Linked DNA regions of Arabidopsis thaliana. The protein of the gene in region 1 interacts with the protein of each later gene in a pairwise test. Each region holds a gene or a part of one and is shown in the gene's direction. Other genes may lie near its edges.

Region 1 (7,186 bases):
TTGATATGGTTATTAATATTGTTAAAATTTCAACTAAATGAAAAATAAAAAGACGTAGGTTAGATTAATTATGTTTTATTGGTGAGAAACAAATACGTGCTTAGTGAAATGGACGTTGACTTTTGTCGGCAATATTCATATTTCAACCATTTTTCTCCCAACAAGACAATGAGAGTTTCTAGAGGTTGTGAGTGGCCAAGTTATTTGCCGTTAAATCAACCATCCGACAAAGCTCCGGATACAAACTCTTCCTAATGGTTGCATACACCTCACCATTCCATTTCTTAGCGGCCAAACTTTCTCCAAGGCTCACTGTAGCCTCCACCACACCTTCCGCACTATCATGCGCCGCTGAGTCCACGATCCCGAGAGCCACCGCTTCTTCTCCTTTGAGCTTCTTCCCGCTCAGTAACAGCTCCCTTCTCGCGATACCTGACCCAACCTTAGCCACGACCAACGCCGAGAAGTAGTCCGGCACCGGTAGCCCGATGTCCACCTCGCTCATATATAGAACCCCACGGTCTTTCCTCATGAAAACGTAGTCGTGGCTCAGCGCAAACATCAGCCCCGAGGCTGCCGCGTGGCCGTTCAAGGCGGCGATCGTCGGCATTGGAAGATCGAGGAGGGCGGCTAACACCGGTTTAAAGGATTTGACCATTTGGTGCATCCGTTTTATAGCACCGTGTCCAGCGGATTGAGCCCACGCGAGGTCAAAGCCATTGGAGAAGAACTTTCCGTGACCGGTAGTGATGAGGACGGATCCTTTTGTGGATTGAGACTTTGCTTGTTCAAGAAGCGAGAGAACAGAGGCGATCGTGTCGGGGTGGAATCTGTGCTCGTCTTCGCCGGTTAGGGTTAGGAGAAAGAGATCGCCGCGCTTCTCTAACGTACACATGGTGCGTACGTTAAGGACTTACTGATTTAGGATGGTACAAGAATAAGGAAAGAGTTAGTAGAAAACTGTGATATAGAAGTGAGTGTTGAGTAATTAATAGAAGGGAACCCAACTGTATATTTATTAGACGTGCTTTGCCACCGAAGTCTTTAAATTGGGTAATCTTCCCAACCATTTTGGTGTCAATGTTATTAAATGCAGACGAGACAAATGTGTATGAATGAATGTGTGACTTTCTTGCTGAAAATGATAATTGTAACTGTTTGTCCTTGGACGTAATTACCATTTTGTTCTTTCGCAGCTATTGGCTAAATCAATTTTGGTTTCCTTGTCTCCACTTGATTAATATTAACAACCTTTTTTTAGTGCTTACACACTTACAACTGTTCGTATGATTTTTTAGATATCTTGTCATGGCTTTTGAATCTATGAACTTTATTTTTGAAGCATGATTGATTGAGATCTCTGCTTTAGCATTACTCATGGACACATTCCATAAGAGACCGACATGAGTAGTTAAATTAGTTCACTAACTCTTTAAGTTGTGCAAACAACATTAGTTAGGTTAATATTAGTCCGCCAACTCTTTAATTTATTAAATACACAAGCTACATAGAAAAGAACAGTGTCTTTAGATCCATACTTGACCAGCCGGTCTAACCGATAAAACTGTTAACTAGACATATAACAATCATTATTTTACAAGATCCTATAATTCAAATACATATTCAAATATTTATTTAATATGCAAAGATTTTTATTTTATACCGAATAAATACTAAGATTTATCTTGTTTATTGACTTTTATTTTTAAAAAATTTTATACCGTATTTATGTCCGATCAGAGCCGTCCATGAACGCAATAGGACCAAATTTATGCTTGCGGCCTCAATTACTACAAATAAAATATTGACCTAATTTTTTTATAACTTTCAGTAAAAACGTTGATTATTTGATTCTTAGATACCTATGGTCGTCAAAAGTTTGAGTCCATCTACCTTCATTTACCTTGTTATTTTTTCATTTTCACTCATTAAAATAGGTCTAAATTTTGTTCTTTGCTTGCAATCTATTAAATACTAGAGACGGCTCTGTGTTCGATTAATGACACCACGATGGGACTTATAATACAAATCAGTATACTCATATATTACAAGATCATGTTAACTTTCTTACTATTTATATTTTGGTTAGCAACATGCAATATGCGGGTTTGAATAAGGCCATAAGGGTGATGACACACTGACAACACTAACACAAACCATTGGATTACATTTTTTTGTTCGTGTAGAAGTTAATCAGGCGGCTAGTTGACTTGACTTGGCCTGAAAAATGCAAAAACCTCACATATTTAAGCACATCGTGACATGGTCCGATTTTTGCTTTCTTTTGTTTTGTGGCTTAGATTGTAAAGCTCTGTCCGCACTAGACTCAACTTACATATTCATATTCATATTCACCTCTGGTCCATATATATTATAAAAGTCCAATAGAACATGTTCACGAGAATCTGTATAGGTAAACCTCATCCACCATTTAACATTTCATGAACATGTTTGACTTCCATTAACAAGATCGATGTCTTTGTAATTTAATATTAAAAAGAACTTTAACATAAAAACAAGCATGGAAAATTCAAAAAGAATTGGTCAAAGAGTATTGCCAAAACAAAAATGTAAAGAAACGGGAAAAGGGAAGATAAAGCAGCTAATTTTCTTTCTCCAACTCTGACCAATGACCATATCCAAGCGTGTATGTAATGTACCTAGTCAACATGTTACAAGTCGTGGCCCTCCTCACCTTATTATATATGTCATCTACATAAACATCAGACATCACACACCAACATCATTATTATGTTCTTTGATACAAAAGTACTCAATTATCCTACAATTCACAAATCTATCTCCATGGCGTCCACGATGCAAAGAACAAGCAGCTCCGCGGCCAGTAACGAGAGGCAACTTAGCCAGCTACAGAGACGAGCTCCGTCTTTAATGATCAAACCAACGTCTTTTAGTAACTGGAACGTGGCGATCCCTCTCCTTTCACCGCTCGCTCCTTCTCTAACATCATCCTTCGACCAATCACATGTTCCTCCGCCGCAGAACAAGACTGAGATACCAGTGGAAGAAGAGGTGAAGAAGACACCAGTTTTCAAGAAATGGCAACATCCCGCGTCGCCGTTCTGCTACGAGCCAACAACGTTTGTCCCACCGTTCATCCAGGTTTAGAACGGTTCATCAAAATTTTGTAGATTTGATGACTCAGCTACCAGCCCCGTGTGAATTTTGTTCCTGTGATATTACACGCGGTTAACTATTTTTCACGTTTTTGTATCAGTTTTATCCTCTAAGAGATAATATTATTCACTAACAAAGTATTAATTCAAGTTCTAAATGGGTAAAAAAAAATGCATAAAACACATGAAACAAAATTATGGGAAAAACATGGAGAAAATAGTTGCATGAATTCTTTAAATAAATTGTCAAATTAACCCATCATACATCTAGGGTTGGACTTTTCTTTAAAGTTCATTTCTTCAAAGTGTTCACTTTTAACAAATAAAAAAACTAACTTCATGGATTCAATATGGGCCGAACTAAAGCCCAGTAAGCCCAATTCAATTTAATTCTATTTTCTTCTTCTTCTTCTAGGGACTTGTAGTACAGTAAGAACTTTCGTACGTTTCTCGCAAACAAAACACGAAAACTTACGCTTCTGGAATTGAATCCAAATCGAGAATTTCCTTTACAATGCTCTAAATTCGTCTGTTATGTTGAATCCTTCGTAAGAGAGTAGAATCGAAGACGAATCAAATGAACTTTCGAAGGTTTGATCTATTGATCTCTTCCTCTGCATTCGAATCCTGTTTTTATGTAGATTCATCAATGTTTAACAAATGATATTGATTCTGCTCTCGATCGAATTTGATCTAGATCTCTTCACAATCTCCAGATTCACTCTTTCTGAAATCTTAGTTTTTTGAATCACCGACATTCGAATTCCTGATTCTGAGTCATTGACCTAATTCTAGAGTTCTAATTACAGTTTTCCAGATTTTGAATTGAGTGTATCCAACTAGAATTGGAGAAAATTGGATCTGATTAAGAACCAATGGTTTTGATTTCTGTAGGGAGAATCGTGCTTCGAGAACGTCTCTCTTTGATGGCCTTGATGGACTTGAAGAAGGTCGCTTGAGAGCTTCTTCTTCGTATGCTCATGACGAACGTGATAATGATGAAGCTTTGGAAAATCTTCAGGACAGAGTTTCGTTTCTCAAGAGAGTATGTTTCTTTCATCTATATAACTAAAGAATCAAAATATCAACACAAGCATAAACATTAGGATTAAGAATTGTGATTCTTTATTGTGAAATGGATGGTGCTACTGATCCTTATTGTTTGAGAAAGAACAGTCCCTTAAGCACTGCTAAGTCGAGACCCTAAATGTATCTTTCGAGCATCGAACGATGATCTAATGCTTTCGAAAAGTCTAGATATAAAGAAATTGAACTTAGTTTTTAGTTCCTAGATATGTATTGAAATTGTAGATTAAGAACATTCTCTCCAGCATTGCTATCACTAGACCCTGTATAAGTCTTTCGGACTCAACGACAAGGATCGAGCTATGATGTAATGCCTTAGAAAAGTCTAGTTATGAAAACAATGCCTTTTTTGTTTTCACTCTTGTCAAATCTAGTTTGCAATAACGCTTGCCTGAGATGTAAGTTGGTAATAATATCTTATCAGGTGACTGGAGACATACATGAAGAAGTTGAGAATCATAACCGCTTGCTTGACAAAGTGGTAAGCTGAAAGTTTGATTTCATCTGTTTCAGTTTGTAGATCTCTATCACATGCTTTTCTTCTAAGCTATTTGTTGTTGTATCTCTAGGGGAACAAAATGGACTCCGCGAGGGGGATAATGTCGGGAACGATCAACCGCTTCAAGTTGGTATGTAAATAAGATTTCGTACCTTTTATATATGCATCACCCCTTTTGTTTTTCGCTATCAAAACTTATATCTGAATAAAACTCGATTTTAACACGACAGGTCTTTGAGAAGAAGTCTAATCGAAAAAGTTGCAAACTCATAGCTTATTTTGTGCTCCTGTTCTTGATCATGTATTACCTTATTAGGTAAAATACACTTCTTCTTATAGTTATCAAAACACTTGACTTTTCTTAGGGACTGGTTCAAGTCCTTGTTCTTTGACTCGAACACTGACAATCTTTCGGATTTTGCAGGCTATTAAACTACATCAAAGGGTAAATTTGGATACAAGAAGAAAGTAGAGTGTTAAATGAATAGTTTCGTTTGGGACTTCCATTTTTGGATTTCTCCTGATGAATGAATGATTCAGACATAGTAAACAAGTCAAGGGACCCTATTGAAACCCTATTGAAACCCTATTGAAACAAGACAAAGAAAGAGATTGTGAAGAGACTAGTGAACCAACCGAAAGAAAAAATGTTTGATAGAGACTTGTTTGTCACAAGCAAAATCATCTCATGTCATTTCATGTAATGTAGCAAAAGCTTCTTTATCATTTGTCAACTATTTGATCTTGGGTTCATGTTAGCAGTTTTGTCTACAAAAAGCTTAATTGATTGATTGATAAGCTTAATTATTAGCTTTCTGTGAAAAAAAGTTTAGCACTTTGTAATAAAAACAAGATAACTTGGCGTCTTGTTTCCAAAAATTTCCAATTTTCAGAATTTTAAGGCGCAAATACCGTCCTGTATATTGACATTTTGCTAAAGATCCAAATACGTAACAACATGAGAAATATCATTTTTGAACGACTCGCAACAATTCCACAAGTTGACAGGACACTACTATGCAGAAGAGTTTGATTTTTTTTCCACTTTAGGTAACAAGTTGACAATAATCGACAAGTTCATTTTTGGTTTGGTAATAGACAACAAGTTGACATGTACATTTCCAAATGGTTCGGTTTCTAGGTCAAATCATCTTAACAATTATGTAAACTATAGTCTTAAATGTTGAATTTACGAGTGAATAACAGGTTGCTATGCTAAATAGTAAATTTCTTGAAACTACTGTTTAGATAAATAGTCAAATAACCATGAGTTTTAATATAGCTACTAGAGGATAACATTTGAGTTCTGGCACAATATATAGAAAAAAAGTAAAAAAAAAAAAATGTTACCTTATTAAATCGGGAGTAGTTTTTCAATTTCTTCTGATCTTTTAGTATATGCTAAAATACCATGTTAGTAAATATGAATGTGATTTTTGTAAAATAAATATATTATAACACAACAACAGATGTTATGCTACATATATTAAACAGGGTGCTAGATTATAAACAAAAGTGTTTTGGATTCACATGAAAAATATGTGTAATTATTTGAAGAAGTTAGATATATAGATCATTCAAAAAATAGTAAGCTACATGGTTATCTAATATACTGTTGGTAGTGAATCCATCAACCTAATCGTGACATATATACAATGTACAATCGAAATCGTTTCTAAGAAAGCCGACGAAATACTCAGCCTTTAGAAAGACTAGTATACGACATGTCCTACCACCCTAATTACTAAGAGAAAAAGATTCATGATGCTGCGGGAAATGACTTGCTTTCTTCAATTAACTCTTCATTCGAGCTTTGGTTGCTCTAGCTCACAAATTATCGTCGTAGTTAATTGAATATTTACAAGGAGCTGACTAAAAAATTAAATGTACATGCACATACATTGGAGCACGCCCACCATGGCTATGCTAAGCATGCTCTCTTAGCAGAAGTGACACCTCTCAGAAGCTATTGGGCCATAACAGAGTTATGACACGGGTCATATCCGTCAAAAGCACATTGCTTCTAGAATGCGAGGTATGATTGCTAAAAACACGATCGACAAGGAACTCAAGAACATCAACTTGCATATTGAACCTACATACATGCCGTATATAGGCATGTGCGAGGAGTATTAAGGATATAGGACTGGTTAACTTCGGTTATCACTGGTTTGGTTGAATGTGGTTTACTAACCACAATAATCTTATGTATATAAGTTTAATCTCGATTACTTTGTTAGTTAAGTTGGTTGTAACAACACTTTAAGCTGAATAAGAAAAGTTGTTATCTTCTTCTTCGTCTCTCTTCTCCGATCTTGAATCTCCGATGTATCGGATTTTATCATGGTATCAGAGCACAATATATTGATTCCGCGTTTGTTGTGTTCATCGGGAGAGAGTTTCATTTTCGATTTCTTCTTTTGATTCTTTCGTTCGCTTATGCCATTCGTTATTTTTCCGATTC
Region 2 (7,909 bases), on another chromosome or scaffold:
CTTTTTTTTTTTCGGTCAACTGCTAAGTTGATCACATGTCATCTCATATAAAAATGAGGTGATGTCGTCATTTATACATATTTTGATCACTTTTTACCTACATTTTAAATTTAATTTCACAATATTACCGTTTTGTATATGGTCGTTAAAAAAAAAGAGAGTATAAAATGGCTAACTATAACAACATTCACCCGTAATGTGCATATATGTACAAATCGAAAGATTGTAAGATTTGCTCAACTACTTAATGTTTGTTTATATTGGCCTTCGATCAGAAAATCTTGGTTCTGAAAGTGTTCCTAATACTTCCAAAACATAAGTTTTGCATATAGCTGCAAGGAAATGGCAGATGACAAATTGTTCTTTTAATGGATTATATTGTTCTTCTCTTTGTTGAAATTTTGATAAAATTAAAGTTTTTAAGGATTTTGTTCCATGATCATTTTACCTTCTTGGAGAAAAGTAATACTTTATTGATAAAAAGAATACTCTAAAGATTAGGATAGATATTATTCATTTAATTTTGTTACTACTATTTTTTTTATAAAGAATTCCTATTTTTATGGTAGTTCTTTCAGGAGTTTGTAAATTTTGTGTCGATAACAAAAAAAAAAAAAAAAATCAACTCTGCACTCTATAGGGGTTTTGGTTGAGTTTCTTTCTCTTAGTTTATGGCTGAGTTTCTATTTATGCACAAATGATAGTTTTCTTCATTTAGTATTGTTGGTTCTCTATAGAATTAACGTTATATACGGTTTATGTTCTAATCAATCGCTGAGTGGGTTTCCACGTATTTATTTTGTTCATCAATATATAAAAACAACATGTACCAAGAATATAATACATATACACATACGTATATGGCCCATGTTATATGGGAAATTGATAATGTGCAAAAATGTCATCGTTCATACAACGACCGTTGCTCCTAAAAGTACGATATCAACCATGTGTGCACCTAATGATTGGAAATGTAAACTCTTTTATCAATCATAAAATATTCACAACCTCTTATCATATAGATATCACATGTACTTAATTGTACCATAGACTCCAATAACGAACCAAAATAATTATGCTCTCTCTCCCTATATATACCCATGCATCAAATCAAATCAATTCAAACACAAACACAAACACAAACACAAACATAAACTCAAACTCACATATAAAAAATGACAAAATCAGCTATAACATTTCCACTTATCTTCACACTTCTCACCTTCATCGATGTCTCGAGCAGCGCCTCCATTGTTTTCAACGTCGTGAGCTTCGGGGCCAAACCAGACGGAGTCACCGATTCCACAGCAGCATTCCTAAAGGCATGGCAAGGGGCTTGTGGCTCGGCAGCATCAGCCACGGTGGTGGTCCCCACGGGGACATTTTTGTTGAAGGTAATAACGTTTGGAGGGCCATGCAAGAGCAAAATCACATTTCAAGTGACCGGAACCGTCGTTGCTCCGGAAGATTATAGGACCTTTGGCAATTCCGGTTCCTGGATTCTCTTCAACAAGGTTAACAGATTCTCACTGGTCGGTGGGACTTTTGACGCTCGAGGTAGTGGGTTCTGGTCTTGCCGGAAATCTGGCCAGAATTGTCCTCCCGGTGTTAGGGTACATATGCTTCTCCTCTATCTATAGTTATTGTAAATAAAAACAACAATCTGACATTCATACATAAGCGCCACCAGAATGCAAAAGAGCAACAAATAGCTTTAATCATTATTGATTAGTAATAACTAAATAAGTCAATATATTTTTTTTAATAGTCAAATAACATATCTTTATTCCAATCATTTACTTACGATTAAAAAAAAAAAGGAATTAGTTGATAGTTTTCAACTATATTAATTCAGGCACATTTAATTTTCAATATGATCTATCCATGCCATTTTTAGGAATTTATTTTATAAGCATATAATAACTATTATGATAATGATTTTTGGACAAGGAAATGGATTCTTTGGTCAAAATAAAATGAAATATTTATAATCTTATTATTAATCTATGGCGTTTATATATTAATTACTGTAGTCAATATCGTTCAACTCCGCAAAAGACGTGATCATAAGTGGAGTGAAATCGATGAACAGCCAGGTTAGCCATATGACCCTCAACGGTTGCACCAATGTGGCCGTCCGTAACATTAGGCTGGTGGCTCCCGGAGACAGCCCAAACACTGACGGCTTCACCGTTCAGTTCTCCACTGGAGTCACATTAACCGGAAGCACCGTTCAGACCGGAGACGATTGTGTTGCTATCGGTCAGGGGACCCGCAACTTCCTAATTTCCAAGCTTGCTTGTGGCCCAGGTCACGGGGTTAGGTATACACCACCGTCTAATTCCTTAGAGTAAATTATGTAAATATATCATTAATTGTTAGGAATCATGAATTTCCAACAAAAAAAAAACTAGCAATATTGCCTTCACTCACTCTGGTCACAACTCATATGATGATGTGATGACTGGCAGCATCGGGAGTTTGGCAAAGCAGTTAAACGAAGACGGAGTAGAGAACGTGACAGTATCGAGTTCGGTATTCACCGGATCACAAAACGGCGTGAGGATAAAGTCATGGGCGAGGCCGAGTACCGGATTCGTTAGAAACGTCTTCTTTCAAAATCTAATCATGAGGAACGTCCAAAACCCTATCATAATCGACCAAAACTATTGTCCGTCCAACCAAGGTTGCCCTACTGAGGTATATCCATATCATATTTTTGATCAATTTCAGACTAATCAAATATGCTATATCAAATTATCAACTTAGTCAAATAACTAAAGATTTATTATGTTTATGGTATGTATTAGCATTCGGGGGTGAAGATAACCCAAGTGACGTACAAGAACATACAAGGAACTTCGGCGACGCAGGAAGCAATGAAGCTGGTGTGTAGCAAGAGCAATCCATGCACGGGAATCACATTACAAGACATAAAGCTTACTTACAACAAAGGAACTCCTGCTACTTCCTTGTGCTTCAATGCTGTTGGGAAAAATCTTGGTGTTATTCAACCTACTAGTTGTCTAAATCGATGAATTTATTTGGGGTTAAGATGATATCACTGTGAAATGTTATTAGGAAACTGATTTTTCAAATAGTTTTCTGTAACAAGGTATATGATCACCAATTTCTGTAACATACAATTTTTTTTTTTTTATTAATAAAATATTATTTTCAGTAACCAACAAAGTGGAAGACTTTGACTTGTTGTCACCATCACATTGTGCTTTTGCTTTTTGGTCTTTGATTTGGACAACAAAAATATAAAGAAATTAGAGAAAAGAAGCTTTAACTGGATATAAAGTTTTAAACTGGAGATAATTGACATAGTAATTAAGAATTTGTTGCTTCAAAACTCAAAAGAAAAAGTAATCACTAATATTACTAAAGATTTTGGAAGTTTAGCGAAATTAATAAAGAAAACAGCTGAAGATGCAGTCACTCATCACAGTCTCTCTCTCTATCTCTATATCCTGAGAATCTTACATGATTTGCCCACAAAAAGCATTGAGATTTACAAATCAATCTATTGGGTTTCAGCTACACTCTACTGAAATCAGCTGCAACCTTTTTTTTTTTTCTCTCTCTTCTTTCATCACATCGGTTTGAATCTTTACAAGAAATCTGGAAATCACAGGGAAGTCAGGGTTTTCCATTTTCAAGCTGGTTCTGTTATTACGAAACACGGGTTGCTGGAAAAGAGCTCACGGATTCTTCAAACAAAGTTGGCATCTTTCAGATTTGGGAGAAAAAGTTGTTATTCAAGATCTTTGTGTAATCTAAGGGAGAAGCATACCATGAGTTCTCTGGTTCCTGTTATGGAGAAGCAAGAGAGCGTTCGAGGTAACTCTGTGGAGGAACAGCAGAGTCTCAGATGCGTTGGTGCAGAGAATCAGGTGAGAAAGGGAAGAGCTTTGGACAAGCAAGTTAGTTTCCTAGCTGTGAATGTTGTTGAGAAACATGGAATCAAAGGAAGAGCAATGGAGAAACAGGAGAGGGCAATGGAGAGGCAGAGAAGCTTTCGTGGGTTTGTTGAGAAGCAGAAAAGCTTTAGGGTAGTAATGGAGAGACAGTTAAGTTTCATGAATGTTGGTGGTGAGAGGAAGAAGAAGACTGACTCACCTGGTAAAAGAGGAGATTCTCCTCTTCATCTCGCAGCTCGAACGGGGAATTTGGGAAAGGTTATGGAATTGATTCGAGCTTGTAACGGCATTGAAGAGTTGAAGGAGTTGTCATCAAAGCAGAATCTAGAAGGAGAGACCCCTCTTTATAGTGCAGCAGAAAATGGGCATTCATTAGTTGTTGAAGAGATGTTGAAACATATGGATCTTGATACTGCATCAGTTAAAGCTCGCAACGGTTTTGATCCTTTCCATGTCGCTGCAAAACAAGGCCATATTGGTAAATGAAACTTTAGAGAATCTGATAATAACTTGAAGACCTTGTTATTGTTGTACACCTTCTTGACATATATCTTTGAATGTGTGCTGTCTTTTGCAGAGGCATTGAAGAAATTGTTGGAGACATTTCCGAATCTGGCTATGACGGTGGATCTATCGTGTACAACTGCATTGCACACGGCTGCTTCACAAGGACACACTGATGTGGTGAATCTTCTTTTAAAGACGGATTCTCATTTAGCTAAGATAGCTAAGAACAATGGTAAAACCGCACTTCATTCTGCAGCGCGAATGGGGCACAGAGAAGTGGTTAAGTCTTTGATAGGTAATGATGCAAGCATCGGGTTTAGAACTGATAAGAAGGGACAAACAGCGCTTCACATGGCTGTCAAAGGTCAGAACGAAGGGATTGTTCTTGAGTTGGTGAAACCTGATCCTGCGATTTTGAGTGTTGAGGATAGTAAAGGGAATACGCCGTTGCACACTGCCACAAACAAAGGCCGTATTAAGGTATCATCATCGCTAATTCCCCCTCCCCTCAGTTTCTCAATCTACAAGAATTCTGATGAACTGCATTTTGCCTTTGCTTGCAGATAGTGAGATGTTTGGTATCATTTGATGGAATTAACCTTAATGCTATGAATAAGGCTGGAGATACTGCACTTGATATAGCCGAAAAGATTGGAAATCCAGAGCTTGTGTCGGTTCTGAAGGAAGCAGGAGCTGCAACAGCTAAAGATCTTGGGAAGCCTCGAAACCCGGCTAAGCAACTTAACCAAACGGTCAGTGACATTAAACACGAGGTACAGTCTCAGCTCCAACAGTCTCGCCAAACGGGTGTTAGGGTGCGGAGAATCGCAAAGAGACTGAAGAAGCTTCACATCAATGGTTTAAACAACGCTATAAACTCTGCAACCGTTGTGGCTGTCCTAATTGCAACAGTTGCATTTGCAGCAATCTTCACCATTCCTGGGCAATATGAAGAAGACAGAACAAAGGGACTGTTGTTATTAGGAGAAGCCCGCATAGCCGGCAAAGCCCCGTTTTTAGTCTTCTTCATATTTGACAGCTTGGCGCTGTTCATATCTTTGGCTGTTGTTGTGGTGCAGACTTCAGTTGTGGTGATTGAGCAGAAGGCAAAGAAGAATCTTGTGTTTGTGATCAACAAGCTCATGTGGTTGGCTTGTTTGTTCATATCCGTAGCCTTTGTTTCTCTTTCGTTTATCGTTGTGGGTAAGGAGGACATTTGGCTGGCGATTTGTGCAACGATTATTGGCGGGACGATTATGCTAACCACGATAGGTGCAATGTGTTACTGTGTGGTCATGCATAGGATCGAGGAATCTAAACTGAAAAGCTTAAGGAAAGAGAGAAGCAAATCGAAATCTTTCTCACTATCTCATATGCCTTCAGAGTCAGAGATTCTCAACGGCGAATTCAACAAGAGAATGTATGCACTCTGAGACTAAAATCTCCAGAACAGGCAATTTAGTGTAAGAGTAACAAATGTATACATGGGTCACGTACCTGTAGTTTAGATTCAAGTGAGGAGATACAAAAGTTGAATACATGCTACCTGAGGAACAGTCTCAAAGCAAATCTACAATTTCTGACACAAAATGAATTTTCTAAAGAATCAACGAATGAATAAAAGCGATTCTTCACCTGATGCATTTGTCTTGTGATGACTTTGTTGTTCTTCTGCTCTAAGATCTAGTTAAAACTGTCAAAGTCACAAGAGCTCATCACCGGCTTTTACCTCGTCTAACCGAGTCTTCAGTTCTTGGTCTAGTGCTTCCATTACGGGTAATATCTGTTGGGTAACGACGTGAACCACCTAAGTTCTTTGTTAGGTTCGTGGGTCTGTTCTCAAGGAGACATACTCTGGCTGAGAAGCAGTGACGGACTTTGACAGAGTGGCTTCTCAATGTTGTTGAGCAGCTTCCTCGAATGTTCACCATCAGGATTGCTTCTTTATCTCGAGTGTCTTCGCACCACCAATTCTGTGGGATGCCATCAACATATTCCTCCATTGAGTAAAAATCTTCGTGATGAACTTTAACGTCTACGGATCCTTCTGGATTTATTATCCCTGCTGCGGGAGAAACCTAAAAGAAAAAAATTCTTGTATATCACTAAATCTTGAATACTACAAGAATCTTCATTTGGCGTCAAAAGAGAATTTAATACCTCGAGCCAGCGTGGTAGACCAAAGGAGCCTCGTGGATTGTAGTCAGCATCTTCTCCGTCATCCTTAACTACAGCCTGGCCACCGCACAGAATGTTAAATATGGCTTGGCTCGTGGGTGAATTGTTTGTGATTGTTAGGATGACTGTGTCCTGACTCTGAAGAACAATGTTGTTGGTGCTCACAGAAGTTTCTGGAACAAATCTTAAATCTTCGAATATGGATAAAATCTTCTCATTAGACCTTATTATTTTCCCCAGTTCCTGTCTCCGCACAGATTTATCAACATGAGCTATTGTCGCATGAAATTTGCAGCGCACGGGTTTGTGATCGCTCTCAGTAACATCCATGCAAGCTTCATACCTGTTGAAACACGCAGGTGGGAAGTTAGAATGGAGAAAACACATTGAAGAGACCGGAAAAAGCGAGAAACATCAGAAAGGTCGTCATGAAACCATACATTATGACTGATGAAACTACAGGGCATTGCAAATTGCTCTCAGAGAATGGGCTAGATTGAGTGTCTCTATATATAACTCGGTCACACCACGCAGGAATTCGCTTTTTCTCCCCTGAATCATATCCTGGAGAGTACACAGCACAGAAAGATTCAGTTTTTTTGGAGCCACCATCTCTTACAAAACAGAGGAAAAAATGCAGAGAACAGAGCAGAGCAAAACTGCTTCAATTTTTTCAAATTCATATCTTATGTATCAAATCCACTTTTACCTCCAAGGCCTGAGCGATTCCTTTCAAATTTGTAAGTGGGAGGGAAAGTGATTAATGCCTCGCGCATTCCTTGGAAGACTTTTCCAACCTTCATCTCTGCTCTAAGTTGGTCTCTTTCTCTGAGCCAATCGAAGGATCGCTGTGAAATGAAGTCCCTTGCTTCATCATAGGTTATACCAAACAGTCTATAGTTGAAATCGCCAAAAAATGCGACCATGTCTGCTGCTGCAAGATCAGACTTGATTTCTTCAGCGCCGGTGCTTGGAATCTGGAAAACAGAGAAACATGTTAAATACAAATTTAAGGAGCAAACAACATAAACTCAGGAGTAAAGGTGATATGATAAGAACATACAGTGTTACTCTTTGTTGTATAAGCTGAAGTTGAGACACCAGCTGCAAGAGAGAGGGCCCATGGCAAACCAGAAGAATAAAGCAGCCAAAATAAATATGTGGAAAAGCCAAGTGAGCAAGACAAAAACAGGTACGGCACCATACCAGCTGCAGCGTTACTTAGATTTTGTCCTCGGGAAAAGACCATCAATCGAAAAATGTGATTGAAATCTGCGTTTCTGCGATTAACCGCCTCC
Region 3 (9,529 bases), on another chromosome or scaffold:
AGGAGTTGAAAACAGACCTTAGAGCTTGAAACATAACGTCTACTGCAGGTACCACAGCCTTTGCAACTTTATTCTTTATAGCTTTCTCCATCGTATCCTACAATCATGCCAAATCTGTTAGCATGTATAAAAACGATGTTATCCTATAAACTATACAACTCCCAGTCTCCCAATATATATCTTGTTGGCAGTTGAAAATTGAAATGACTGAAACAATGCATATCAAGTAGAGTTATTGCAACTTTATACTTGGGAAGTGAATTAAAACTTCTGAAGGAAATGATGTTTTGAACAAAACACTATGGTAGATATCTTGAAAACAACAATAAAGAAGGTATCTAGATTCCTTTCTCCTTCAGAAATAAGTATTATTCATAGCAGAAGTCCAACAGCTTGAGACACGGTGACAACAACTCAAAACTGGAAATGTTGGTTACTGAAGAGGGTGATTATAGGAACAGACCCCAGAAAGTTGATTCTGTTTCTTGACCTTGAACACAGGATGCTCAGGACATCTGTCAGTCATCGTTATTTAAATTGCTCTTTTCCTATGCCACACTAGATACCTAGCATAACACAGAACTGGACAAAGAGCCACAATGCTATATTCTACGTCACTCCTTCTAAGATCAGTATATGGTTGAATTCTGGGTTATAAAGCACTTTCATTTCTATGTCAGCTCACCTATCTAGTTTCAGATACCAGTATCAGCAATCTAGCAAGTAACTCTATGGCTAGATGGTGAACCTATACATCAGAGTGCAAGGGTTAACCGTATGTGTCTAGATAACCCTAGCAGTGTTGCAAAAACATAGAATGAATGACATACCAGAAAAACATCGACGGCCTCTAATTCTACCCAAAGCAAGAAAGCAGCCTGCGCCTTGTCCACAGTATTCTTCCGACCCGTAAGGCATTTGAGCGCAATAGCATCGCAAACTTCCTTTGCATACCTTCAAAAGCAGAAACAAACTAATTATTCACATGCAAACGAACACTCCACTCTGCCCATTTCTAAAGCAATAAAAATAAACAACACCATACCTTCCAGCATCTGAATCGGCTGCTCGCAAAAACGCAATCAATGCATCAAGCGCTTTCTCTTGCACCGGCGCATTAGAATCTGCCACCGTCTTCCTAAACAAGTGACCTGCGAATAAAAAATAATAATCAGAAATTCAATCAAAAGTAAAGCAAAATGGAACCCTAGACCAATCACATTCCCACTCAACAATCCAAATTCAAAACAGATCCACACCGATATAAACCACCCTAATCAGATCTGAGCTTCAAAAACAAAAACCCTAACATAATAATAATAAAAAAACGAGGTAGAGAAACTCACCAAAATCGCGAAGACGAGGGTCCTTAGGATCAGTAATCGAATCAAAAACAGAAGCTAAATCGACGTTAGCTTCGTTCCTAACTTTCCAATTCTTATGCCCAAGCCGATCCTCCCAAGGAAGTTTTTTCGCCTCCTTCAATAACTTCTCATCCTCCGTCGACATTACTCCACGAAATTATCTCTCCGACGGTATCGATCTTATCGATCTATACCAAGTTTTTTTTTTCTTCGTACGGTCTCTTGGAAACTTTCTCTCTCTTTTCAAAAAAATTTCTTCGTGTTGTTAGTGCCGGCAAGAGAGAGAGAGAGAAGGACAAAAAAGAAGAGTAGGGTGGAGCGTAATGAGAGAGAGAGAGTGGGGGAATTTTGGTTTCTACGTTTAAATCGGTGGTGTAATTTTTTTGTTAAAAACCCTTCACGCGCGTTTTGATTGGAAATGTTTACACGCGCGATTATTTCAAATCTTAAAACGAGCGTTTTTCTTTTGCTTTCTCCACGTGGAGAGATCGGCATTTTCAAACTATTTTAGGAAATGATTAACAGTACTGAATTTTCCTATTGTTGGTTCTGTAAATATTTTCAAAATATATTTACATTAACAATCTATTAATTTCTAAGAAAATAAAGTAATATTTTGAAATGAATAACTCATTTTTAGTTATAAAAATATTTATTTTAAAAAATCAACAAAATCATGAGTTATTATTACTTACTTATTGGATTATCTTTTCTTCTATAAAATACAAATAAATAGTCATTTTCTATAAAACTAGACACGTAAACCAAAATGGATTTATTAGTTTGATTATGGAAGTTCAAAAACATTGTGTATTTTATGATTTAAAAACTAGTTAAAATTTATTATTTTAATATCCTAAATATTTATGCTAGGATCTGATTTCGCTTTGGATTTTAATATATTTGAAATATCTAATTCAAATTCAGAATACAAATACTCAAATTTCAAACAAACTTTGATTGATAATTAGTACAAGAATATTTAAGCCACACCACACCTTACACCTTTTCCATCTCCATCCTCATGTCTTAGGTGATGTAACTCTCTATCTCCAGATATCTTTTCTTGTCTACTGCTAACACATGAAACAACAACTCAAATTTAAGCCATATTTTTACAATGGTACCAAATTTATAAGAATCATAGATGAAATTACCAAAACAAGAAGTTACGTGGAAAGATTGAATCCAATATTAATATTTTGATTTCTATTATAAAAGCAAATGAAATAATGATTATCAGTCCATTGTTTGTTCCATTTTTAAGTACACTTGTTTGTTTGATTTAGGTGAATAAGATCCGCTAAAGCTGAAAATACAAGAATTGTCCCTAAAGATAGTAAAGTACAGTACGCTTCCAAATAAATAACAATGGGCTTTAGTAGGCCCACGCAATAACGATGTTTTAACTGACCCAACAAGCCCTTGTCCAGTTCTGGCATTATACAATGCGTCGGTCGACACGTGTAATAAGTCATGATCGGCACGTGTGGTCTCCACTTCTCCTCTCTCATTGGTCGTAAACTCGTAACTAGCCGATTCCTTCTCCAAAGTATCTCACATTTCCACTGCACACTCTACTTTCTCTCTCTTCACTCTCTCATAAATCACAACAACAACAAAAAAAAAAAAGTTGTTAGTTAAGACATTGCTTTACAGCTCAATTGCGTCTTCTTCCTCTGTCTTATTCTTCATCTTCATCTTCCTCCTCGCGGATCCATTTTGAGGTTCGTGTAAATTCCCATTCTCTTTCGCCATTTTTTTGGGGGAAGTGAGATTTTGGTCTGAGTTATCGGCGAATCGATTTCGTTTTTTTAGATTATTGAATGGTTTTGTTGACTCTTCAGTTCTTCTTGTGCTGTGATTGCAATGATGTCCTCCGAATTTCGTGATTTAAGTTCGATTTTAGCTATCCGAGCTCCTCTTTAAATAATGAGTTGGGGTTTTATTCTGAAGGTTCGATTTCTGATTTTGCAAATTTGGGAGGTGGATTTGATCCGATTAGATAATCTCACTGTTCTGGGTGCTGTAATTGTTAATGAGACCATGCAAATGTTGTGCATCGATGTTGTGGAACGCTTGATTTGTAATTGAGGATTTGGTTGTCTGATTATTGGAAGATCGAGGCTTGATAGAGTTTCAAATGAGGGTCAGCTGTTATTGTTGTACGGTCTAATGACATTATTTTATTTAACTTCAGGAGTCTCTTTTTGTTTCTTGAAGATAGACTGGGCGTCACGGAGCAGCTGAGTATATGCTACGAGTGTTGCATTCCGGAGGCTGTTCTTTCAGATGATTGGCAGTAGCTATATTATGCTTGAACGGTGCCATAATGGGCATCTGTCTAATGAAGCGCTGCTGCTCATGGTTTCTTTTGATCTCGTTTCTCTCTGCACTAACGAATGAAAATGAAGCAATTAGTCCTGATGGTATACAGCGATATGTGTCTTTAATCTCTTCTATATTTTGTCTTTGACAAGTCATGATCACCATTTACTCCGCCCAGATTGCTGAAGGGATTAAATCCTTTTTTTCTCCAGGTGAGGCGCTTTTGAGTTTTAGAAATGGAGTTTTGGCTTCTGATGGTGTTATTGGTCTGTGGAGACCAGAGGATCCTGATCCATGTAACTGGAAAGGAGTGACCTGTGATGCAAAAACAAAAAGAGTTATAGCCTTGTAAGTTTAAAATTTCTTTAGTTTAAATTCTTTTTTTTTCTTCAGTATGTGGTGCATCTTTTGTCGGTTCCTGAAGTTTCTTGTGTGCAGGAGTCTTACTTATCACAAATTAAGGGGACCTTTACCCCCTGAGCTTGGAAAGCTGGATCAGTTAAGGCTTTTGTATGTGCTCCTAACCTTTTAATTAATATTATTGATGTCTAGCATATGCTCTACTACTCATTGTATGTGTATTCCCATGTCATTGCAGAATGCTTCACAACAATGCGTTATATCAATCAATACCTGCCTCATTGGGAAATTGCACGGCATTAGAGGGAATGTAAGGGCTTTCCCAAATACTTATGCTGATTAGTGTGATTACACTTCATTGCTGATCGAATTCTCGTTTTGTTTTTCCAAATTTTATATTATTTCCTAACAATTACTAGTGTTTTTCTTTATTTGCTTCTATATAGTTGGTGCATAATATTGATGCGTCTTGTGAGTGATGATAAACTCAGTCACAAGTTTAGCTAGTTGACAAGAATCGTTGTGAATCTTTTATAATTTATTGTCCTTTTATTCCTTGCAGATACTTGCAGAATAATTACATCACTGGGACAATCCCAAGTGAAATAGGAAACCTGTCCGGGCTGAAAAACCTGTACGTGGTTTTTTTCCTCGTTCTTCCAAGTGGATTTGTTTTCTTAGCCTCTCTAGGATCTGCTATTTGTTGTTCTGCTATCTACTCTCACCATTTAGTATCCTCTATAATTATATTGTGAACTACAAGAGGTTCTTCTGATCTTCCATGCAGCAACAACATAATGTTTTCGAAAGTACTTATTTCTACAGTCGTGGTGAACCCTAAAAATTATAGGGAGTTTGACATAACTTATATTTAATCACGTATTGTGTTATTTTTTCCGGGTGAAAAACTCTCAAATATGATGATGAGAATTGTAAATCTATGCTAGGCTTCTTTCATATTAAATGGGCATATCATCTACATTCTTCTGAACTACTATGATTTTTGACTCTCATTTATGAAGGGACCTCTCAAACAACAATCTCAATGGAGCTATCCCTGCTTCACTTGGGCAGTTGAAAAGGCTTACTAAATTGTGAGTTGCTAATCTCTAACTTGCGTATTTTATTTTGCAGTCCTGTAGATATATGAGTGTCAATGTTACTAACTATGTTGATCTTCTTTTGAAGCAATGTCTCAAACAATTTCCTGGTGGGAAAAATACCTTCTGACGGCCTACTCGCTAGACTCTCGAGGGACTCGTAAGTATAATTTATATATACCCATTTCCCCAACCAAATTTTTGTAAATTATGGTTGATAAATCTTTCTACGGTTGATCTGGCAAAGCAGTTATAATTTTTTTTGTGACGTTGTGTACGATAGCACCCTGTTACTAGCTTTGCAGCAGTGTAGCTGAAAATAACCAAGTCGTAAACTGTTGAATCACTCTTGCAGCTTCAACGGAAATCGTAACTTGTGTGGAAAACAAATCGATATTGTGTGCAATGACAGTGGAAATTCTACAGCTTCTGGGTCTCCAACAGGTAAAGCAACTGTGTTTTAATCAATTTCTTGTCAGGATATATGGATTATAACTTAATTTTTGAGAAATCTGTAGTATTTGGCGTGAAATGAGTTTGCTTTTTGGTTTCTCCCGTGTTATAGGCCAAGGAGGTAATAACCCTAAAAGGCTGCTTATAAGTGCTTCAGCTACTGTGGGTGGGCTGCTCCTAGTGGCGCTCATGTGTTTCTGGGGATGCTTTCTCTATAAAAAGCTTGGTAGAGTTGAGAGTAAAAGCCTTGTGATAGATGTCGGTGGAGGTGAGCCATGCTGACTCATATTGTAGATATTCTCTCTAAGAGTTATATTTTTCTCTCAAAACTTGACACCATAAGAGACGATTTTTTCTATCCAGGTGCGTCTATAGTGATGTTCCATGGAGATTTGCCCTACGCTTCCAAAGACATTATCAAGAAACTGGAATCTCTTAATGAAGAGCACATAATAGGCTGTGGAGGCTTTGGCACAGTGTACAAGCTGTCTATGGACGATGGCAATGTTTTTGCGCTGAAAAGAATTGTTAAGTTAAATGAAGGTTTTGATCGGTTTTTTGAAAGGGAGCTTGAGATTCTTGGGAGCATCAAACATCGTTACCTTGTGAATCTACGTGGATACTGCAATTCACCCACATCAAAGCTTCTGCTATATGATTACCTTCCTGGTGGTAGCCTTGATGAAGCTCTACATAGTAAACCCTCAACTTCATATTTACGGGTTTCCTTAACGGAGAATTATGATTCTATTAAGTGAAATTTTTGAATGTGTAGAGAGAGGCGAGCAGCTGGATTGGGATTCGCGAGTTAATATCATAATAGGAGCGGCAAAAGGGTTGGCATACTTGCATCATGATTGTTCTCCTAGGATTATACACCGTGATATAAAATCAAGCAACATCTTACTGGATGGAAATCTGGAGGCTCGGGTATCAGACTTTGGGCTTGCCAAGTTGTTAGAGGACGAAGAATCTCATATTACAACCATTGTTGCAGGCACATTCGGTTACTTGGCTCCAGGTACTCAATTACACAGTAATAACAATGCTTATTACTTGTTGTTACTATCTGTTAGGACCTAAATCCGTGAACTCATAATGAGTGTTTTTTGCAGAGTATATGCAAAGCGGTAGAGCGACTGAGAAAACCGATGTTTACAGCTTCGGGGTTTTGGTTCTTGAAGTCTTGAGTGGTAAACTTCCCACGGATGCCTCATTCATCGAGAAAGGCTTTAACATTGTTGGTTGGGTAAGCATAACGAGATCCAGCTTAGATAATAATATTGACTAGTAAAAGCTTAAATTTTGTTTTTTATAATCTTGCAGCTAAACTTCTTAATCAGCGAAAACCGGGCAAAGGAGATTGTTGATCTAAGCTGTGAAGGAGTGGAGAGAGAGAGTCTCGACGCACTTCTATCAATAGCAACAAAGTGTGTGTCGTCAAGTCCAGATGAGCGGCCAACAATGCACAGAGTCGTCCAGTTACTTGAATCCGAAGTTATGACTCCTTGCCCCAGCGACTTCTACGACTCCAGCTCCGATTGATCTCACGTTCACAAAGTCTGTCTGCCTTCTCTTTTCAGAGTTCCTTTTCAGTTTTACAGTACAAAGTTCTCGAGCCATTCATAGTCGGTACCTTTTTTTTTTTTTTTTTTTACTTTGAATTGGTAGATTGGTGACACGCCTCAATTGATCTGATCATGAGATTAAAATGTATATGACCATCCATTGTAGAAACACTGTTCCTAAGAATCTGAATAATTTCTCTATCATAATACTTTCTTGTTTGCTTTCTTAAGTTTTATTATACATGTTGTGTACTTCGGAACTAGTTGAAACCAATCATATAATATCGATGAGAAGATCAATATAGAAAGAAGGTAATTATTTTTACTAGCAAGGATAATTTTTAAGCTTTGATTCTGATTTTACATCTCCATAACAAACAAATGATTATCATGGACAATATAAAATAAGCTCGATACGACGCCGTCAAATCACAAATTCGCAGAGCAATCCATGTGTTGAAACGACACCGTCCTCGTCTCCAAGTCATACCCAACTAGGAAATCCATCTGAGCAAAGTTCCCATAGATGGCAACCTCGGTGGTCGGAACCATACTCAAGCAAACCATGTCTTCACTCAGTTTCACGAATGCGTTGATCGGACTCAGCCTCACATCTGCACCCGTGAAATGCACCGTTATCTCCGGCAAACCGATCTCTGCACTTCCGGATTTGAAACAGTGAGACAAAAGCCCTTGTGGATCACTCACGCGCTTGGCTCCGGTCACTGATTCCTCCACCGCCGAGCTAAATTTGTCAAAGAAACCAGCTTCGAGGAGGGTCAGTGTCGTTCCAGAGTCGATGATGATGTTTCCAGATGTCTCCGAGAGTATTCCGTCGTCGTTTGGGTTATACGAGCTTCCGGTGTAAGGAATCTTTTTCTTCCCGACGGAGATGGCTTCAAGCGTCAAGTAGTAGTAAGTAAGAGGCTCTTTATCGACCAACGGAGTTGATACCACGCCGGAGTCTTTGCTTAGACTTGAAGGAATCGAGTTAGTGCCTAGGTTTATGACGCTTGTGCCATTCGTGGTAGCTGACTTGTGAGACAAGCAATAAGAAAATTTCTTCGAAATCGACGAACCGAGCTGGGAGATTAGTGATAAATGACCACCACCTAGACCGATAATCCCAGAACCAGTCTCGTCGAAGGTACCACCGTTATTGTAGCCACAACCGAAGACAGTACCAGGAAAAGAAACAGGGGACCCTGAAGCAGAGTCAATAGAGACAGTTTCCGTGGCAACGTCTCCTTTGCTGAACGACTGATCACCGTAAGAGTAACGGTACTTGCATATATTGTTGGATTCATCGCATCCCCGTTCCGTACTGGACAAGGCCTGGCAGTTACGTGAGTCACAAGGCTCGCTCTTATAAGTAGAGGATTTCTTCTTGTCGAAGATTGGACCGTTTTCTTTGTAACATTGTTGACAAGGCTTACATTGGACCCAAGTTAGGTCACTTCCTGTGTCAGCGATCGCAAAAACCTTTATTGGTGGAGTACCGATGGTGATACTCATGAAAAACTCGCCGTCTGCTCCGATTAAACCGGATTGGAGATCGGTTTGGGATAGTTGGTGGTTGAAGCGGCGGGAACGAGAGACTGAGCGGAGGAAAGCAGCGTTGAGGCGATCAGTGACGGTGATTTGTGGGTTGTAGATTGGGGAAAGGGGAGAGTCACGGTGGATCAGCTCAACACTGAAGTTTTTTGGGTGACCCGATGAAGAGAGAGTCACCGAGAAGAAGAGGAAGAAACAGAGAAGAATTTGGGTTGCCATTGTTGATTAGTTTTAGAAAGTTTGTGGTGGAAAGAGTGAAGTGGAGAAGAGGTTTTTATACACAACAAAATTGGGGAAGTGAAGAGATTTGAAACGGTAAGGAGTTATAGCTACGTGAGTGGGGAGGTGAAAGTCTGAAATGCAATTCATTAGCTATCTTTTAATTTCACACTAAGGCTGCTAATTTAATTTGAGGCTAGTGGGGTTGAGGGGAAATTAATATCAACGTTTTCAAAATTGGGACTTGGAAGATTAGACATTTATCATCTTAAGAGCATATCTTGTGTGAGTATATGTTATACACCACACTATAATACCAGATATAATCATTTTGGTTTTGTGTTTCCTAATTTTACAATAGGCAGAGGAACTCATGTTATGTCATATAGGACCAGGATTTGCCATGTTGCTCGATAACTTCAAAAGTTCAAAGTTTAAATCATTTGTTGTGGTAATCATGTAACACTGAGAGTACTTTTGGCCGTGAGGAAAACATGTGATTAAGTTGAGGGAAAATAATTCAAATTCAGTTGGCACGGAGAAAAGGGAAATGTGATATGCTTATATTAGTAATGCAATGGCT

The links. Proteins that work in one complex are often made in the same cells at the same time.
Region 2: the proteins of ATBET12 (region 1) and AT1G05640 interact in a protein complementation assay, tested with the Arabidopsis thaliana proteins (one large-scale study listed by BioGRID).
Region 3: the proteins of ATBET12 (region 1) and FEI2 interact in a protein complementation assay, tested with the Arabidopsis thaliana proteins (one large-scale study listed by BioGRID).

What each region holds. Positions count from the first base shown.
Region 1 is NC_003075.7:8,306,768-8,313,953, forward strand, and holds ATBET12 (Target SNARE coiled-coil domain protein), read left to right. Parts: upstream 1-3,551; 5' UTR 3,552-3,714; coding exon 3,715-3,728; intron 3,729-4,031; coding exon 4,032-4,182; intron 4,183-4,647; coding exon 4,648-4,704; intron 4,705-4,792; coding exon 4,793-4,852; intron 4,853-4,952; coding exon 4,953-5,038; intron 5,039-5,146; coding exon 5,147-5,171; 3' UTR 5,172-5,617; downstream 5,618-7,186. Other genes in the region: HCD1 (3-hydroxyacyl-CoA dehydratase 1), read right to left, coding at 179-895; AT4G14450 (uncharacterized protein), read left to right, coding at 2,752-3,129. UniProt on the Arabidopsis thaliana protein: Required for vesicular transport from the ER to the Golgi complex. Functions as a SNARE associated with ER-derived vesicles.
Region 2 is NC_003070.9:1,685,393-1,693,301, reverse strand, and holds AT1G05640 (Ankyrin repeat family protein), read left to right. Parts: upstream 1-3,346; 5' UTR 3,347-3,800; coding exon 3,801-4,404; intron 4,405-4,503; coding exon 4,504-4,913; intron 4,914-4,996; coding exon 4,997-5,866; downstream 5,867-7,909. Other genes in the region: AT1G05650 (Pectin lyase-like superfamily protein), read left to right, coding at 1,176-1,613, 2,034-2,323, 2,472-2,700, 2,811-3,038; 5PTASE13 (Endonuclease/exonuclease/phosphatase family protein), read right to left, coding at 6,149-6,511, 6,594-6,954, 7,052-7,175, 7,321-7,588, 7,675-7,909.
Region 3 is NC_003071.7:14,958,808-14,968,336, reverse strand, and holds FEI2 (Leucine-rich repeat protein kinase family protein), read left to right. Parts: upstream 1-2,898; 5' UTR 2,899-3,091; exon of another isoform or gene 3,092-3,320; intron 3,321-3,564; 5' UTR 3,565-3,696; coding exon 3,697-3,793; intron 3,794-3,904; coding exon 3,905-4,040; intron 4,041-4,130; coding exon 4,131-4,202; intron 4,203-4,290; coding exon 4,291-4,362; intron 4,363-4,614; coding exon 4,615-4,686; intron 4,687-5,074; coding exon 5,075-5,146; intron 5,147-5,240; coding exon 5,241-5,312; intron 5,313-5,507; coding exon 5,508-5,596; intron 5,597-5,717; coding exon 5,718-5,873; intron 5,874-5,968; coding exon 5,969-6,301; intron 6,302-6,380; coding exon 6,381-6,626; intron 6,627-6,720; coding exon 6,721-6,854; intron 6,855-6,931; coding exon 6,932-7,150; 3' UTR 7,151-7,486; downstream 7,487-9,529. Other genes in the region: MOR1 (ARM repeat superfamily protein), read right to left, coding at 18-97, 831-954, 1,046-1,151, 1,347-1,509; AT2G35615 (Eukaryotic aspartyl protease family protein), read right to left, coding at 7,603-8,946. UniProt on the Arabidopsis thaliana protein: Involved in the signaling pathway that regulates cell wall function, including cellulose biosynthesis, likely via an 1-aminocyclopropane-1-carboxylic acid (ACC)-mediated signal (a precursor of ethylene).